3 linked regions of the Daphnia pulex genome follow. The protein of the gene in region 1 interacts with the protein of each later gene in a pairwise test. Links are inferred from orthologs where the notes say so. Each region holds a gene or a part of one and is shown in the gene's direction. Other genes may lie near its edges.

Region 1 (5,932 bases):
ATAAGGAGAGTAATGGCCTATATTTTCGACGGCTTCTATTGTGGATATAGAACGTACACACGTAGAGGAGCCGGACCAACTGGCCGTGTTGCAATCTCGCAACTCCGGACAGTAGAACCAGGGCTCTTATCGAACTCCCGTGTCCTTGGCTGCATGGACCGTGGTGGTGGTGCCATCGCCATTGCCATTGCCATTGCTGCCAAGGATATTGCAACCGGATCTCCGTTGGTAATGGCCATGCACATGCAGCAGCCGCCCGGATTCAATTCCGCCGCCCACATCAATGTGTACTGTACACACATAGAGCAGCTATAGTCCCGCCACCCGCTCACTGAATGCTACAGTTTACTTTCTAGACTCTCGTCAAAAGAGACTTTTCCATTCTGCCAAACGGGCCACATTGTGTTGGATGTATATAAAGTGTTGGCCCAGCATTCCCCCCCACCCACAGGCAATTGCCATCATCCGCATATGGCGATTAGCAATGAAGGGCAAATTTTCGTACGAGTAGCTGGCTCCCGATTTCCTCGAATCAATTACGCGTTGGCGCGGAGGGGGTTAGTGTCTGTGACTTTATCCACCCAAATAGAATGGACTGTCCATTTAGAGTTGGACTGGGAGACACAAGTGAAATGGAGAGAGTAATAATGGACGGGCCAGCAGCAACTGGCCAATATGGTGCGCGCGTAAATCTAGCGTGCGGAATCGAATCAATGCGAATATAATAATCAAAAAAATATCTCTCTCTCTCTCTCCAGCCATAGTCGACTGTCTATAGATAGCCGAGTGCTGGGCCAAAATATATTTGAGTTGCCGCTGTCACCAACAGCAGCCCAGTCTCAGCGGAGTATAGCGGCGGTGGCGAGTGTTATTGACTTGTGCTAGAGCGTCATCACGCATCCAGCGCCGAAGGAAGCGAAAACGAGCGTTGCCACGGCGACGTGCATAATCACTGGCGTTTTCCAGTCGAAAAAGGGGGGGGGGGCAACACAAAAGGAGGCCAGAATCGTCCCCACCATATAGAAGAGGCCAGCACACAGCAGAGCCGGACGCGGTCGCTATATGCTTTTCAGCATGCACACAGCAGCAGCGGGACCGAGTGCTACTGGAGTCGAGAGGAGACGAGCGGAAGAGATATCTACGTGTGCAGTCGTCGCTTTTTGTGGACGTGTGAAGCTCTACACAGTCCACACGCAGTAGTCACATAGAGAAAGCCAATCGGCAAAAGCTATGGCGTCTAGTACATATAGCCTATAGTAGTCTAGAGGACGGTCTTCTATCTAAGTCGTTTAGGTTTTGGCCATAGAGAGACGCCGGCCGCGGCCTCTGGCTGCGATGCACTTGAATTATTGATGGCGGGCGAGCTATCGAGATAGATACTCGACACACAAGAGAGAGAGAGAGGGAATGAAAATAAAAGGTGGGAGCAAAAGAAAAGAGACGACGACCGCCATGAGTGCTGTGTGTGTGTGGGGGGGACCCGGACGGGAAAATCGATAGCAGGGCCGCCACCGCCCAGCCGCATCACCACACACACACACAACCATCGCCTCACCGATTCGATATGATGATGGCTGCTGCTGCTGCAACCACCTTTTTGCTTTATTCGCTCTAGCTGATGGATGTCTATCCACTGTGCATAGATATATATATATATATGTATACAGCAATATACACTTTACTATATTGGAGACGGGCGCGGTGTGTGTGTGTGTGTAGTTCGTGACTTGTGCTGACTGTCACAAGTCCCTTCGTGCGGATCGATGACGACGCCAACTGCCGGCTCCTTTTCGATTCTTTTCTTCTTTTCCTTGTTATTATTTTCCTTTTTCATTTTCATTTTAGTTGAGAGATGCATTTGTATTGTGGGCTATATAGTATGTATACGTATGGGCGCTGCCTACCTTAACGATACGACGATGCACTTCTTCGTCTATGTGTGTACCCAAAAATCTCGTTATATGCTTTTGTTTTCTTTTCAAAAGGAGAGCAACATTCAAACATTCGCTATTGACACATCTTTCTCTCTCTCTCCCTCCCGACCTCCTGGTAAATTGCCTCATTTTCTTTGCTCCGTTTCAGAGGAAGTAACAGGAAGAAACAGGAGGCGGAGCCGGACACGGAACTCGGAAGGAAAACTCATTTGGAGCTCGTAAATTGCTCCTCCCGTCTTTCTGCATATTATTAAATCGCAGCTTTTCATCTCGACTGCTTCAATCAAAAGGCAGGGGAAACAAAATATGGGAAGGAGAAGAAAAAGAAGAAGAAAAAAGGCCAATAAAATTTGTAAAAATCATACAGCGGAGCGGAGTGTTGTATAACTCAACGGCAGTTTTAATTCTCTATTTTTTTTTTTGTTTTCAATTTTCAATTTACCTTATTAGTTTTCCAAATGCCAGCAACTTCCTTTATAATATATGTGTTTAAACGGAATAAAAAAAGAAGAAGAAAGTTGGGAGTTTCGTGTTCAAATGTGGCGCGCAGGCGCAGTGAAATAGGTCGCATCGGTGCTGCCCCTCAGCGGCGGCTGTCGCAAACTAATCTGGCAGCCTGGCATCGTCCACACTCTGTCAGTTCAGAAAGAGGCAGCTGAGCAGCGAGAAAGTTCATTTCGTTGTTAGTGTGGGTGTGTTCCTCTGTTCCCTCTCAACACACAGAAGAAGCAACAAAAATGTGGAACTTAAAAGTGTTTTTCATCGCCATCGTCCTATCCGCCATCAGTGTAACCGACATTTTTGCCTACGTCGAGGTATAGATTCCTTTTCAAACTACAAATGGATTCCCATGATCTTTTCCCATTTCTTCCTTCTCTCTCCACCCTCCTCGACATAAAACAAATAGAAAACAATCGATTGTGTGTGTGTGTGCCCTCTGTGTGTGTGTGAGCCCTGTGTCTGTGTGTGTGTGTGACTCGGTCCATCCGCCATTCGCCTTGACGCGGCCCTTTTTTTTCTAGTATCGAAATCCCATAAAGCTTTTCCCCCCTGCGTATATATACGTTTATGCGCCTGGCAACTTGGCTGATCGACCTTCGTGTCCCCCTTTTCATAACTCTTTACATGCTTTAACTTTACACACCTTTATCGTCTTTCACTTTGTCTGGCATTTTCCCTTTGTTGAGAGCTAGGTTCCCCCACGATGGCTGATGTTTCAGACTTTTGCAGGCTGCAGCTCGTTCTTGGTCTTTGTAGCTGGAGCTTTTCGAGGGATTGGTTACACCTCATTGTCTCAGTCAACATCAGCAGGTCCCGTTGTTTCAGGAATCCAGAGGGGAGTGGAGGTGCATGACTCTGCATGGATCAGTTTGATTAAAAAACCCACCACACACACATACACACACCATGTGTGTCTGAAAGGCAGTCACATTTCATCCTCCCCTCTGGGTTTTTTCGTGTTTTTTTCCTTCTCATGTCATGGATCAGGCTCGAGCTTTTGATTAGGTACCTTAGATGACAGAACATCTCATATTTCTTCACCTTGTCCATGCCCTGTCGCTGCCTTCTGTGTATCCCTGCTATTTATTCTATAATCTGAAAGGGAGACGTCCTTCGCACGTCCAGTCGTTGGTAAAATCGTCAGAAGCAAGAAAACAAATAGTTCGCTCCTTTTCTTTGCATTTCAGCTATAGGCCGGGGGATTTGCCCGTCTCGTTTTTTAGTTTGCTATCCACGAATAAAATGGAAAAAAAGAGAGAATGACTTGGGGGGACATTCGACGAGTTTAGATGGAAAGGGGACGAGGTCTGTGTGTGTGTGTGTTGCGAGACAAAAAGGAATCGATCGACCTCATCATCAGTTCGCCAAGGCAAAGAACATTCGACGAGCCGTTCAGGTCGGTCGTTCAATTTCGTCGGTGACAAAAGAGTTGGAACAAGTCAAGCATCAGCGAAAAAAAGGGGGGGATTTGTACTTTAAGAAGAGAATTATATTCCCCGAGTTATTTCCTTTTTTGAAGAGACACACACACACAAGAAAAGAGCAGCTGAAAAGGAAGAAATGGGGGAAGATTGGTCTCTCCCCTTTAGTATTCACCAGCTGCCATTATTCTTAATTGAACAGCTGTGGTGGAGGAGAAGGTTAGAGACTTCCGCAAAAGGCCAAGCCCTTCTTCTTCCGTTTCTTCCTATTCGTAGAAAATAGTTCCATTTTTATTTTCACAAAAGATCAAAAAGCCAAAAGTCCTTAAAAACAACTTGAACGGGGAGAAGAAGAACTGACTTGAGTTTGGTTTTGTGTTGGTAGTCTCGTTACCGTGCTTAATCAGGCCCGCCTGCCTTTCTAGTCCAATCTAATATTAATCAACCCTTCCAGCACACACACACACACACAAACACAAAAATGTGTATAGGCCCCGATCGATTGATGGCGCACATATTCGCTCGAGTCGTGTGGGGATGAGAGTTCAGTCCCGGAGTCGGCCCCTTTTTAGTCATTTCCGCCAGTGACGGTCACACACACACACATTCGGTTTTTTTTCTCTTTTACATGACACGCACATATACCTATGTGTGGTGAAGAAGAAAAAAAGTCAAAATAATCAGGGGGGGGGGAAAATAGGAAACACACACAAAGGGGAAAAGTAGGTGTCGCGTTTCCGTAGGGCCATTCAAATGCTTTGGGGGGACTGAAAAAGCCGAGGGGCCTTTTTTTTCCGTGGAACTCGACACTATTTCCTCTTTTTGTTTTTTATTTTCTGCTGAACTGAAACACACTTCATGTACCTACCATTCTCTCGCCGTGGTGATTGGTTCGAATATTTCATTTCTTGTAGTATTTGAATGAAAGAAATGAGGTCGGCCATGTTGGCAATGCTCTTGTGGTGCTACTGTACCACTACCGCCTTTTTATTTACCTTGGGGTTACGAGAGTAACACACATAAATCAAGAGTTGGGCCCAGAACAGACGATGTGTATACACACGAAATACGAAGATGAAGAAAAACGAGTAGCTAAAGACTGACAAGAGGAAATTTCTAAAGTAAGCTAGTTGCTTTCAGACCGGCCTATGTGTGCGTGTGTGTGTGGGCATACAAACAAAACTGATTGAGCTCTTTGTAAAAAAGGGGGAAAAAAGTTTTCAGAGATGTAGCAGGAGATGGATCCAATCAATAATATCTCTCCCCTCCTTTTGCTTTCCTATTTCCCACTAAGTCTTGTTATGTACTACTACATCTGTGCGAGAGGGGCCGACGTGCAATTGACTTTCCTCTTATCTTTTGCTCCGCTGTTATTGATGTTGTTGATGTAATTTGTTTTTTTCTTTGCTTTTCTTAATAACACACATATATCTAGGCTGTCGCTGGATCATTCGGATCGGATGTGGCCCCCATCAAGGTGGAGCCCCAAGTGGCTGTCGTCTGCGACCTCCGCAACCCGCTTCATCCGCAGTACATGGACTCGACCGGAAAGTGGGTCTCGGATTTGGAGAATAAAAGCTATTGTCTGAAGGACAAGATTGAAATCCTCGATTTCTGCCGCAAGGTAAAATAGAAGGAACATGTGGACAATCGAAACTAATCAAATGATTTGCTTTCAGCCATGTCGTCGTACTACTCTCCTCGTTTGTATCGATTGTCGCTCGTGTGGTCGATTTGTTGTTGACTTACTTTTTTCTCTTTCTCCCCATCTCTCGTCGTCTCCTCTTTACCTTCCCGATGAAAAATAAAATAGAAAAGTTCCTCCCAAGAGGCAATTGGAGTGGGGCCAATCGATTGGCCAAATGGAAGAAGAGACGAGACGACGTCAATGGAAGATGGGAGAAAATTGGAAGGGAATCGATTGATCCGTTTTAGCTCCTTGTAGGGACGAACTTGGTTCGGGTCTGGTCTGGATCGATTTCGGACAAACCGTCCCACTCTTCGTCTATTCCAATATTTTTTTTTCTCTTCTCTTCTCGTTTCCTTTAGAAACGAAATATAAATCCCATTTTCAAT
Region 2 (5,181 bases), on another chromosome or scaffold:
CTCCCCATCGAAAAACAAAGCAACAAAAAAAAAAGCCAATGTTTGTACACAGTAAGAATTAGAAATGAAGAAGGGAAAAAAAAGGCATTGTGTTTTTAACCAAATCTTAACGCTTGGCGGCTAAAATATCTTTTTTTTAAATAGAAGGGATTTTTGTTTTTTTGTGTTCGTTTCCGATACTTCAGTATGCATACCGTACGTGTCATCTCTATCTGAAACAACAGAAAAATGTGCATGTTATGGCCTCTTTTGATTTGATCTAATATGGCTTCTTTGATCCTCTTTGATCTTTAACCCTCTTTTCTCCTTTTGTTTTCCTTTGCTCCCTCCTTTTTTCTACCCCCTGTTTATTTCTTTTTTTTTATTTCAAGAACCTTCTTGATCCCAAAAATACTTTGCGTCGAACCTTTTGGATTGTTTTCCATATATGCTACACACAGACACACATACTTATCGGATCAAAAAAAAAAAAAAAGAAATATGGACGATTCTTTTTTATTTTTCTTACAAACAATTGGTTCACTTCCCAAGAAATTTTCAGATGCCTATTTAGTGATCTCTCGTTTAAAAAGGCAAAAAAAGAATTAAAAGCTTTTCTTTTTTTTCTCTCCCTTCCAACAACTCCTCCTTCGTTCATCCCTTCTGCTCGGTACACATAAAATGAGAAGAAATAAGAGATTACTGTTTTGCCCAAATGTTTTTTGCTGTCATGTTCGTTTTCCTCCTCCTCCTGCCCTGCCCTCCCAACTTATATAATCTTTTATTTCCGGAACAACAATTAAATAATCCCGACACATTTTTCCCCCTATCTCTCGTGACTTTTGTCTCAAATGAAAAAAAAACAAACAAACAAAGAAAGAAAATCAACAAAACATTTTGAGAAAAAAAAACCGTTTTTGAATTTTTGTTTTTCTTTTGTACATCTTTTCCATTTTTGAGACGAAATCGAGAGATCTAAAAAGGAAATTTGGAAAAAAAAACTCCCCAACAAAACAAAACAAAAAAATTAATAAAATACAAAAAAAAGTTACTTTGAAAAAAATAAAAACGACGAAAGTTTCCAGAATACACGGTTTGTTTATTCGCCCCAGAAAAAACAAAAAAACAACAACAAAATTAAACAAGTATTATTATGTAGTTGAAGTGAACCAATAATAATGTTGAAAATCACGTTTTCTAACAAAACAAAACAAAAAAACTTACAAAAAAAAAAGTTTTTGACTTTGACCGATTATTTATAAATAATCATTTTTTCTGCGGCGTTATAGTAGTGAATATAGATATTACAGCTCTCTCTGCTCTTTCCCACAAATCCCAATCACCTCCGCCCATCCATTTCCCCGTGACTGGCTTATACGTTATTTGTCTGTTCGTCGTCGTTTGTTGTGTCGTGTTTTGTCTTCATAACCAAAAAGTCGCATTGGTTTGGGTGGGGGTAGTGTCGTCACACACATTTGCATATTATTCTCTAGAATTGTATAGATTTTCTTCCCCCTGATGATTTATAGCCATTAGAAAAATGACAAACAGATAACGTGAGAAAGTGACATAGAGACTGTTTATATGTTTCAGTGTCGTTTTGCTTATTTTAATTCAATTAACGAAATTAAAAGAGAAAAAGTTGAAAAAGAGAGAGAGAGAGGTCAAAGCCAAAATTGTGTAATGTAAAAGAACGAAAGAAAAAACATCCAGAAAATATCAAATAACCTCTCACACACGAATTTGTCTGTCGCGTTATGGGGTGTGGTGCGTTGCCTCTCTCTCCTATAGACCCTGCCGCAGTTGAAGTAGAACCGTCCACCGCTTCGCCTCGAGATCCTGCCTCGTCGTCCCCGCCAGGAGTTAAGACCGGCACTTTCGTCATCATTGGAGTCATAGTGGTCGTCCTCATATTTATCGCCTTGATCATCGACGTCTCGTGCTACTTTGTCAACAAGAGAGGTAAACATGTGTATTTCTTTTGTTTCTCTACATTCCCACTCGTTAATCATTTTCACGGTGGTGTGAACGAACTCTACGCCGACGGGAGTGTGACGTCATTTTCATGTTGGTAACTACTATACAACAGTTGTTACGACTGCTACTACCACCACTCGGCTGGTGTGTGTTGAGCTGTCGACTTATTTTCCATTGTTGCTTTCCTGGAGCGAGTTGCATGTCATTACGAGAGACCAGACATCATCAATTTTCTTTTCTCGGTTCGCTCGACTTTTTCCCCCTTTTCCTTCCCATTTTTTTTTATAGCGCACGCCATAATAAAAAGAAAAACTGCCGCCTCGTTCCGCGTTCAGGGAATTTTGTCGTCGGAGTAATAAAGAAACAACAGCAGAGTTTGTCGGGAATTTTTTTTCCCTCAGTTTTGGAATGTCCCCATCATCTACTAAATAAAAGTACTCGCTCCGCTCAGCAATTACATACTTCTCGGGAAAGTGCTCGAAAGAATTTTTGAACCAACCGCCGAAAGAGAAGGAAAACGATTAAATGAGAAAAGGGGATTAACCTATTTTACGTTGGCGTGAAGGTAGTAGCCGAGTGTTGTTTTGTTTTGACTCCAGAGACGCCATCTAACGCTCGTCGTAGCAACTGCTTGTTCACCCGAAAAAATTCCCCGTTAATCTAATTGAATCCCATTTTTAAATTCGTTTCAATTGATTTCTTCCTTCAGGTTTGACGTACATGATTTGCAGTCGATCAGGTCGGAACAAGAGCAGCGGTCGGAACGGTAGCAACAAAAATGCAGCGCTCATGGAAGGTGGCAAAGAGGAACACAAGTAAGTTAGCTTCTTCATTGATCGACTCACAAGTCAACTCTTTCCGTTTGTCGGCGTCTAGCAGATTTGTAGTTTTTGTCTTTAACTAATTATCTCTGTGAAACAGAATGAGTTTTTGTCTAAGAATTGTAAGATCTCGGGTGGTGACTGGACGTAATTTCGTTACCTTATTGTCTTTTGTAGCCGTTTCATTACCAGTTTCTTGTAGTTGTCTTATGTATGTTTTCTCTTTCTCCTTTGTCTCTTGTCTGTCTCTGCTTGGGTCTACACAAATCCATCTGCGTCTCAGTGACGAGAAAACGCCGCTGAGAGAAGTGACGGTCGAGTTCCAGGATGCCTCCCGCGACACACCCCGTGCAGACCAACGACAGCAGCAGCAGCAACAGACGGCCCAAGTCGATCAACCTAGTCCCACTTTGATCAAGTATTAATTCGTTCTTCCAATTAACTCTCTCCTCGTGAACGCTCTCTTTTGGATCGTCGGTTGTGGTGTTGGCTTTCTTTCTGGCTTGGAAATCTGTGATCTAGTTGTCTTTCCCCGTAGTTTATTTACAGCTTCTTGTTTCATTTGATTTATTGGTGAGTTGGTCCACTTATTTTACTACTATTTATTTTGCATTTATTTTATTTTTGCGCCCCTCTATTCTGCATGCTCGGTCATATCGTTTTCTATTTCCGGTAGAGCTCTGCGTTTCGCTGGCGATAAACTGCACAAAACCCCAGTAACCACTCGCTGGCCGACTAATAGTCCTAGTAACGCCGGTTTGTTGGCAACAGACGATCGGTCAACTGGAAGAGGACCGACTAGTCGGGAGCCCGTCCAGCCGTTAAACAGACGATTCGAGCCTCTCCATTCCGACATTTAAAAGCCGAAACACATTCTTCTTCTTCTTATTTTCTTCTTTCTCATCTTCCTATCGTAACCCACTCTACACACGCAAAACAACTCCCCCAAAAATGGCATGCTCTTCTTTGCCTAGCTGTGAGTCACATCATAGTTTACTTGGTGATGTGTTAACTGATTTTACGCATTCCATATTTTCTTCGCCAAGATGTTTTCTCTGAAATGTACTAATTAATAATTTTTTTAATGATTGACATTTGATTAGTGACGACCAGAAGGAGTTGATCAAGGATGATGTGACAGACATCAACAACGGTCTCAAGAAGAGCGCGTCCAAGTCCAGTGTGGCCAAAGACTCTCCAGTTTAGCGCGTGTCAAACGTCCGCCCGTAGTAGTACTTTTTTTTTGTTTGTCTCATTTTAAAATAATTCGATATACCAATCAGCTCTCTGTCTGCCACCATGAAAGAAAACAAAAACATAAAAAAAATCAAGAAAGTTAAAAGTAAAGGAGAAGAAATCATTACTCTCTTGCTATCCAATTGCTCTCTTTTCTGTCATGTCATGTTTCGGTTGATTTGCATTCCCCGACTTTTATGATATCATATGTGCAGTATATTATTTCCTTGCCATTTGAATGATGTCCCTTTGCTCCTCTTAACCTTTCCCGCTGATGGTGCATTTGATACGTGTGTGCTCTCTTGATTTTTCATCTGATTTTATGTTTTATGATCCGGACCAAGGCACCCCTATAAAACCTTTCTTTTTTTTTCAAATACGAAATAAGGCAAGACAGTAAGTCTCACAGTACAGTGATTTGCTCATCAATTCGTGTAACTCGTTGCCTTGTCCATTGGAACAAGTATTCGGTTTTTGTAGTAGTTTGGTTTTTTAAATATCTCATCATTTTTACAGAGAATTTTTTGAAGTCACATCACTCCCCCATAATTTCGTTCAATCCAGAATTTTTATGAAAAAAAAACAAAAGGAACATTTCACGCTGTGTGCCCTCTATCTTAGTTTTGTTGCTTATGAATCGTCGTACGTTTCTTGTGCATCTTTGAAAAATCAAGCGCGTATCAAAATACAAAGATAATTGAAATTAATAGAAGTGTTAACCCAAAATTATTTCTTCTCACCAAACACGACTTAGAAAAGATAGCCAATCATGATCAGATATCAGATAATCACATCTCCCAGATAATCACTTATTACCAGAGCAATGGGCATGGAGAGGTGCTCTCTGTGCTTGTTTCTTTGAATTCAAATTTTTTGAAATTTTTTTGTATTCTTAGGCGATTGAGTTTCGTATATTGGCAACGCCGCTTCTCATTTCCATGAAAGTACGTCTGCTGCTCGTTGTCGTTAGAATTCTGAATTCTCGCTGCCGCTGGTCGTAAGCTAAATAGTCGGTTAGGATTTCATTTCAGCCTGTGCTAAAATGTTTCAGCAATGAATTCTTTGATAACCGAAATATCCGTACACATTAAGTGTTATCTTTTGTTTCTCGATTCCCTAATCGTCATACCTGGGTGTACGGCTACGTTGGTCACTTTAAACGTGGTTG
Region 3 (5,616 bases), on another chromosome or scaffold:
CTCGTTTAGCCTTATATCATAAAACGCGCATTTTAAAAAATAAAAAGAATTGATCGCTAAATTAGAATTATAAATAGACCAACTTGAAACACTTTGAGGGCTCGAGCTAATCCTCCCGGTTGATTTTTTAACGAAAAGATCATCGTATTGGTTTTGGTATCGCCAGTTTTGGGCACCATCTAATTGTCATTAAACAATCCATTTAATTGTTTTTAATTAAAATAAATGATTAAACATACTTCTCGATCGGTGTGATAAGAATCCTTCATTTTCCACTCTTCTTCGCCCATCCTGTACAGCCAAAGACCGAGGAGTCCTTTGCCGGATGCGCTCATTTTAAAATACTTATTGGTAGAATCGCAGCAGAGAGAAAACCTGACTATAGTATATAAAAATACGACACACGGCGGATGATGTATAGAAATGAATGCAGGAAGGTTGAAGACGGAGCAGTAGGCCAGCAGGTTTATATACCCCCCCCCCCCCGAGTCCGACGCACCCCCCGTCCGTGCACCGTGTTGACCCACCAACCGGCCGGATGGTTCTTGATTCGCCCACGCGCACGCATCCAATTCTCATAGCGCCGATTGGCTTCATCTGGATATCGAATCGTATAGAGAGAGCGTCTTCCCCATCCAGCAGGATCCATTTCTTCAACAATCCTTTTGGCTTGTGTATCAGCCTTTCAACGATATTTTAGTCTGCACGGAGATATGCCTGTCGATTGTCTGACGAAACCAATTGTGTGACGGTTTCAAAAAACCGTAAAGACCTGCTGTGTATAGTAATAATGATCATTACGCGCTATTGTTATGACGAGATACTATACGTCATCTGCGAGCTTGAATAAAAAGTTTAGATTTCTTTTTCAAAAAGGTGAACAATAGTCGTCTTTTGAACATCACTGACTACTATAGCAGTCCAGGTTGGTTGAACAAGCGGCGTCATCTTATATGCACATTTGTCGACGTAGTTATACCGAAAAAAGAATTGCCAGAAGCTTCTCTCGAATTGATTACTATTCAACAGTCAGTTGGTTCAGTAATCAGATGGATATTGCAATTCTCTAGAGTGGCTCTTGACGATCTGGCGCTTTTCGCCTTGATGGCTGCTGCTGCTGCTGGGCATCGAATGGATTTATCTATCTCCAGGCCCTATATAGACACAGCGTCGACCTACTGGTGGGGGAGAGAGAAAGTGGATGGGAAGAAAGAAAAAATAAAAACGATTCCATAATCAGCGTCCCGACGCTCAGAATCGTTTATAATGTATCAACATCTATTCATTCTCCCCAACGGCCAGAGTGCTGGATGAACCTTCCGGTCGAATGCATTGGCGCTCTTGTATAAACAAACGCCAGATAACAAAAGGTTAAAAGAAATCAAAGAATATTACACTTATTTGGGTGCCGTTTGTTGAATCTATTTCAATTCCGATCGTTTTATACATATTCCCAATCGCTGAGAAGTGATTGAAAACTTTCTGGGTCCCAAAGCCCAGTGCTGCTGACGTACAGTATTATCTATTCCGCGTTTTCTTTATTTTATATTTTTACAATTCCTCCGCGCAGCAGCGCATTCCATCATCTGATTAAGGTCGCCGATATATCGACGATATGGGCGGACAGAACGTATCCGCTGGAAGGAAAAAAAGAAAAATTGGCCGCGTGATCTACGATGTGTGGTTTGGTGACAGTTAAAAGAAATCCCATCCGTTATTACATAGGACTCTGGCCATTCCACCTACACGCACGCAAAAAAAAAGCTCAGATTATATTCGTGTATTGCGTGATATAGCCGACGAAGATTATCATCTGGAAACGATGTTAAGTCGTGCCAACGTTTAAGTATTTCTCACTTTGGCGCTGCGCAGTGGCCTATACGCCCACACGCTGATTGAATTAAAACGTAGATACTAATCGGCGACGACGTTAGTGACGGAGTGTTTTGCTTAGATGCCCATTCCTTAGATTAATCGACCCGCGTCGTGCGTGTTGAGTTTTTATCAAAAACACACAGGAGGAGGAACATAAATTGACTTGAAAAAGAAATTTGGGAAAAAATCAATATCTCCATGGTCTCGGGACACATTTCTTTTCTGGCTCACGCTATGGCATCCTGCTGGAACACCAACCACCCCGTGAGCATGCGCAATCCGGGGGACTAACTCGGCAGCAGCCACACCTCTTTCTACATACTCCCGTTGGCACGTATAGAGGATCCGGCACGATCCAGCACCCCAAAGTCGGCCGTATATGTATACGCATCGGAAACTTATTCGGTCGAGACTTTGCTCAGTAAATAGCCGAATTCTGTAGTAACGAGTAGTAGTTGTTAATATACACACCCCCAGCTGCAGGCTGCATCCAGGCCGCTCATTATTATTATTTGCCGAATTCAGTTCTTCAGCTGCTGTTTTTGGTTGTAACCGAAAATCATGGCCGATTCCGAGTTTGAAGAGTTTCGTCTGCATTTCGATCGATTACCTCAGCACATACGAGCGTCAGCCAAGTGCTACACGTAAGTCGTTGTCATCATTTGACTTGGCTGTTTCATTGATTATGTTAGACTAGCGGGGTGGGGTTTTAGTATATTATCATATCGTTTTGTTTTGCATATTTATGCAGTTTGGTTCACGACATCACGCCCTGTGACGATTTGCCGAATTTCGAGGGCTTACTCTCATCGTGTGCCACCGAGTTTCCGTTTGCCAAACGGGAATCGACGATCGTTGAAGAGGGAAGCACCGGAATTGTCCAAACTTCCGTTGGGACGACAGAAAATGTACCAGTAGCTCCTCATCCAGAAGATGGGGCTGCCAACGATCCTGTCAAGGAAATCAATCACAAGCCACTCGAAAGGAAAAGAAGAAAACTACCAGAAATCCCAAAAATTCATCAAAGTATACTATCAAAACATGTTTTATCGAAATAAAAAAAGAAAAGGATCAATATCTAATCAATTATACACAGAATTGGATTTCAAACGGACTCCATCACTCGCCGATGAGCTATCGCAATTGGATATCGGGTCGTCGTGCATTTCATTAGTATCCGAACACCGTCATCGCCAATTTTTCAAGCCTCACCTTCACTATCGAGGTACTATAATTATTTCCAATTGTCCAAATAACAAAACAATCATCCAAAGTTCCTTTTATTAAAAATAAACAGCAGGAGAACACAGTCCTTGTGAATCTGACGTTTGGCCAGGGACGGATGGCGATTCCGGACGAGACTCGACGGCTCATTCGCCAGAAGGCTCAAAAGGTTATTTTCCCCCCTATAATTAATTATTGAAATTGATAACGAATTGAATTTTAAAAATAACAGATACTGCGTCTTCGACGCCGAGCGCCGAATCACTCCCGGTGCTGACCGACGTCGAGGCTACACACCGCGGTCTGCACAAATTCACCGGCCGACACTCTGACGAGATAGACATCGACATCGGAGATCCTGTTTACGTCCAGCAGGAGGCCGACGATTGTTGGTGTGACGGGATCAACCTGCGAACTCAGCGTCGAGGAATCTTCCCAGCGGCTTACGTCGTCGACGTCGATTACGATTTCGATCCCGACGGACGGCGGGTCAACAAGGAGCGCTACGCCCTGGATTTTTTGGGATCAGTCGAAACGATGGTCAACAAAGGGGAGCAGGTGATCTGTTCGGCCGTTGAACGTATGCGCAAATCTCCCGTCACCCACCCGCAGCCTTGTTTTCTAGAAATCTCCGACCAGGGACTTCACGTCATGGACAAGTGCAAAGAAAATGACGTAAGAGTATTGTCTAGCTCTCTCTCTCTATTTCGTTTCAATTAATTTTAATTCACGGTTGGAAACACACACACGACAGATGGACCGATTCCCGTGTCACGATTACTTTTTCGCTTTGAAAAATGTCACGTTCTGCGGGTTTCATCCGAGTGAGCAGCACTACCTCGGCTTCATCACCAAACATCCGACTGAAGAGCGGTTCGCCTGTCATGTCTTTCAGGGTAACGGCTCAACTCGTCACGTAGCAGAAGCTATCGGGTATTAAACATAGAAACGATTATTAATTTTCTATTATTCAAAATGTAAAAATGATATCATTTGGCTGTAGGAGAGCGTTTCAACGGTTCTGTCGTAAATTCATCGAGTTGGCCTACCCGATTCACGAGTTCTACATGGAGTAATTTATTCATCTCAGCACTTTTGATAATCGTTATTATATTTACATTCCCCCATACTTCCTCTAAACTCTCACATCTCTCCTTGTGATAAACGGAGTCGCATATTTCTTCTCGTCTTTTCTAGAGTGCTTCATTTCACAAGCTGCTCATTCAACGTGAATTAATTAAATACCAATACAGTCACGACGAATGGTAGAAAACTGGTATAACCGAAATTTATTGAAACCATTTCCACGGGCGAATAATACTGAAATCAAATTCAGGGACATCTACTTCGAAAGAGAATGCAAATTTTTTCTTAAAACAAAACGAAAATGCAATGGAAAAAAAAAGAAAGAAAAAGAAACACAATGGGAAATGGGACAGAACTGGAAGATTATGCTTTGAATTTTGGGTTCCACAATTAATTAGATTCAGAGATCAGTGGTTAAGGCGTTGTTTTTACGCACAACGGCCTTGCTTCTGGTGGCAGGCGAAAGTTCATCCAGTTGGCCGACGTACAAAACTTGTTCGTTTAAAGTGACCATCCCCTTTTTGGGTCTCATTGAGCGCCTGACTGGAGTGGCGACCAATTGATATGGGCACTCGCTGGCTACTGATACTCTGTTGGAAGCCGTATTGAATTTCATCGGGGTCTTCGTCGCTTTCTTCTTGAGGCTAGGAGTATTGTTCTCTTGTTGTTTTTGACTAAACGTTCAAAGACAGTCAATCAGAAGGAGTTTTTTTTTTTTTTTTTTAAAATACGGAACTGCATAAATGGAGACACAACTTACTCGATGGTATCGAAGACTTGTTTGAGCTTCAGTTCGTACTTGATGGTCGTAGAATTAAAAGCTTGAGCCGAGTCCAACAAAGGGCGGCGGGGAGTCAAACGCCGGCTTTGGCGGATCAAAGGAGTCTCCACTCCCAAACTTTTAAGCAGCGGTGTTCTCTGGCCCGTGGGCATATTTGATCCGATGCGCAACAAAAAGCCGTCAAAGAACTGCTTCATCGTATCTAAAGACTGGAGAAACAAACGGGGGTAAATTTTATACACCGCGCCATCGCTTAAAATGAGGCCCAACTGTTTATACTGTACCTCGGTTTTGTTTTCAAGGGCTTGGCTGTAGATGTCAAGGGCTTCCATAGTGTTGCCACGCCGCTCTTCCAAACGGGCTTTAATGTCCCAGTAGAGAGCCGTGCTCTTGACTGCTGGGAAAGCTGCTTCTGATTGATTGAGCCAGCTCTCGATTTGGGCTTCAGGATAGACGGGCTGCAATATGAAATCATTCGCATTATATTAGACAGCTCTCTCGGGTCAGGAATTGTTGGAACATACCTCGTTGAATAGGGCCGAAATGGTCTCCATTAGCGAGTCGACGCGGCCTTCCTGCAAATCGGTGAGATCCAAGACTGAATCTCTCTTGTTTATTTCCGTCGGAGTGTGGAAGTTGTCCGTCTCCTC

The links.
Region 2: the proteins of amyloid-beta-like protein (region 1) and fasciclin-2-like interact in binary tests that used the Drosophila melanogaster proteins (3 or more experiments, as listed by UniProt). The link is inferred for Daphnia pulex from reciprocal best matches to the Drosophila melanogaster genes Appl and Fas2.
Region 3: the proteins of amyloid-beta-like protein (region 1) and JNK-interacting protein 1-like interact in binary tests that used the Drosophila melanogaster proteins (3 or more experiments, as listed by UniProt). The link is inferred for Daphnia pulex from reciprocal best matches to the Drosophila melanogaster genes Appl and Aplip1.

What each region holds. Positions count from the first base shown.
Region 1 is NC_060020.1:2,957,832-2,963,763, reverse strand, and holds the start of amyloid-beta-like protein, read left to right. Parts: upstream 1-2,527; 5' UTR 2,528-2,671; coding exon 2,672-2,749; intron 2,750-5,291; coding exon 5,292-5,480; intron 5,481-5,932. UniProt on the Drosophila melanogaster protein: During development, plays a role in the regulation of the neddylation pathway. Appl and APP-BP1 interact antagonistically during development.
Region 2 is NC_060017.1:6,490,932-6,496,112, forward strand, and holds the end of fasciclin-2-like, read left to right. Parts: exon of another isoform or gene 1-1,571; intron 1,572-1,770; coding exon 1,771-1,941; intron 1,942-2,665; coding exon 2,666-2,771; intron 2,772-3,060; coding exon 3,061-3,195; intron 3,196-3,453; exon of another isoform or gene 3,454-3,548; coding exon of another isoform or gene 3,549-3,579; exon of another isoform or gene 3,580-3,753; intron 3,754-3,880; coding exon 3,881-3,983; 3' UTR 3,984-4,720; downstream 4,721-5,181.
Region 3 is NC_060024.1:10,402,448-10,408,063, reverse strand, and holds JNK-interacting protein 1-like, read left to right. Parts: upstream 1-2,201; 5' UTR 2,202-2,436; coding exon 2,437-2,519; intron 2,520-2,626; coding exon 2,627-2,901; intron 2,902-2,971; coding exon 2,972-3,100; intron 3,101-3,172; coding exon 3,173-3,268; intron 3,269-3,331; coding exon 3,332-3,774; intron 3,775-3,853; coding exon 3,854-4,032; intron 4,033-4,102; coding exon 4,103-4,175; 3' UTR 4,176-4,280; downstream 4,281-5,616. Other genes in the region: tryptophan 5-hydroxylase 1-like, read right to left, coding at 1-10, 84-179, 240-335; uncharacterized protein LOC124200172, read right to left, coding at 4,586-4,859, 4,946-5,175, 5,251-5,424, 5,491-5,616. UniProt on the Drosophila melanogaster protein: The JNK-interacting protein (JIP) group of scaffold proteins selectively mediates JNK signaling by aggregating specific components of the MAPK cascade to form a functional JNK signaling module.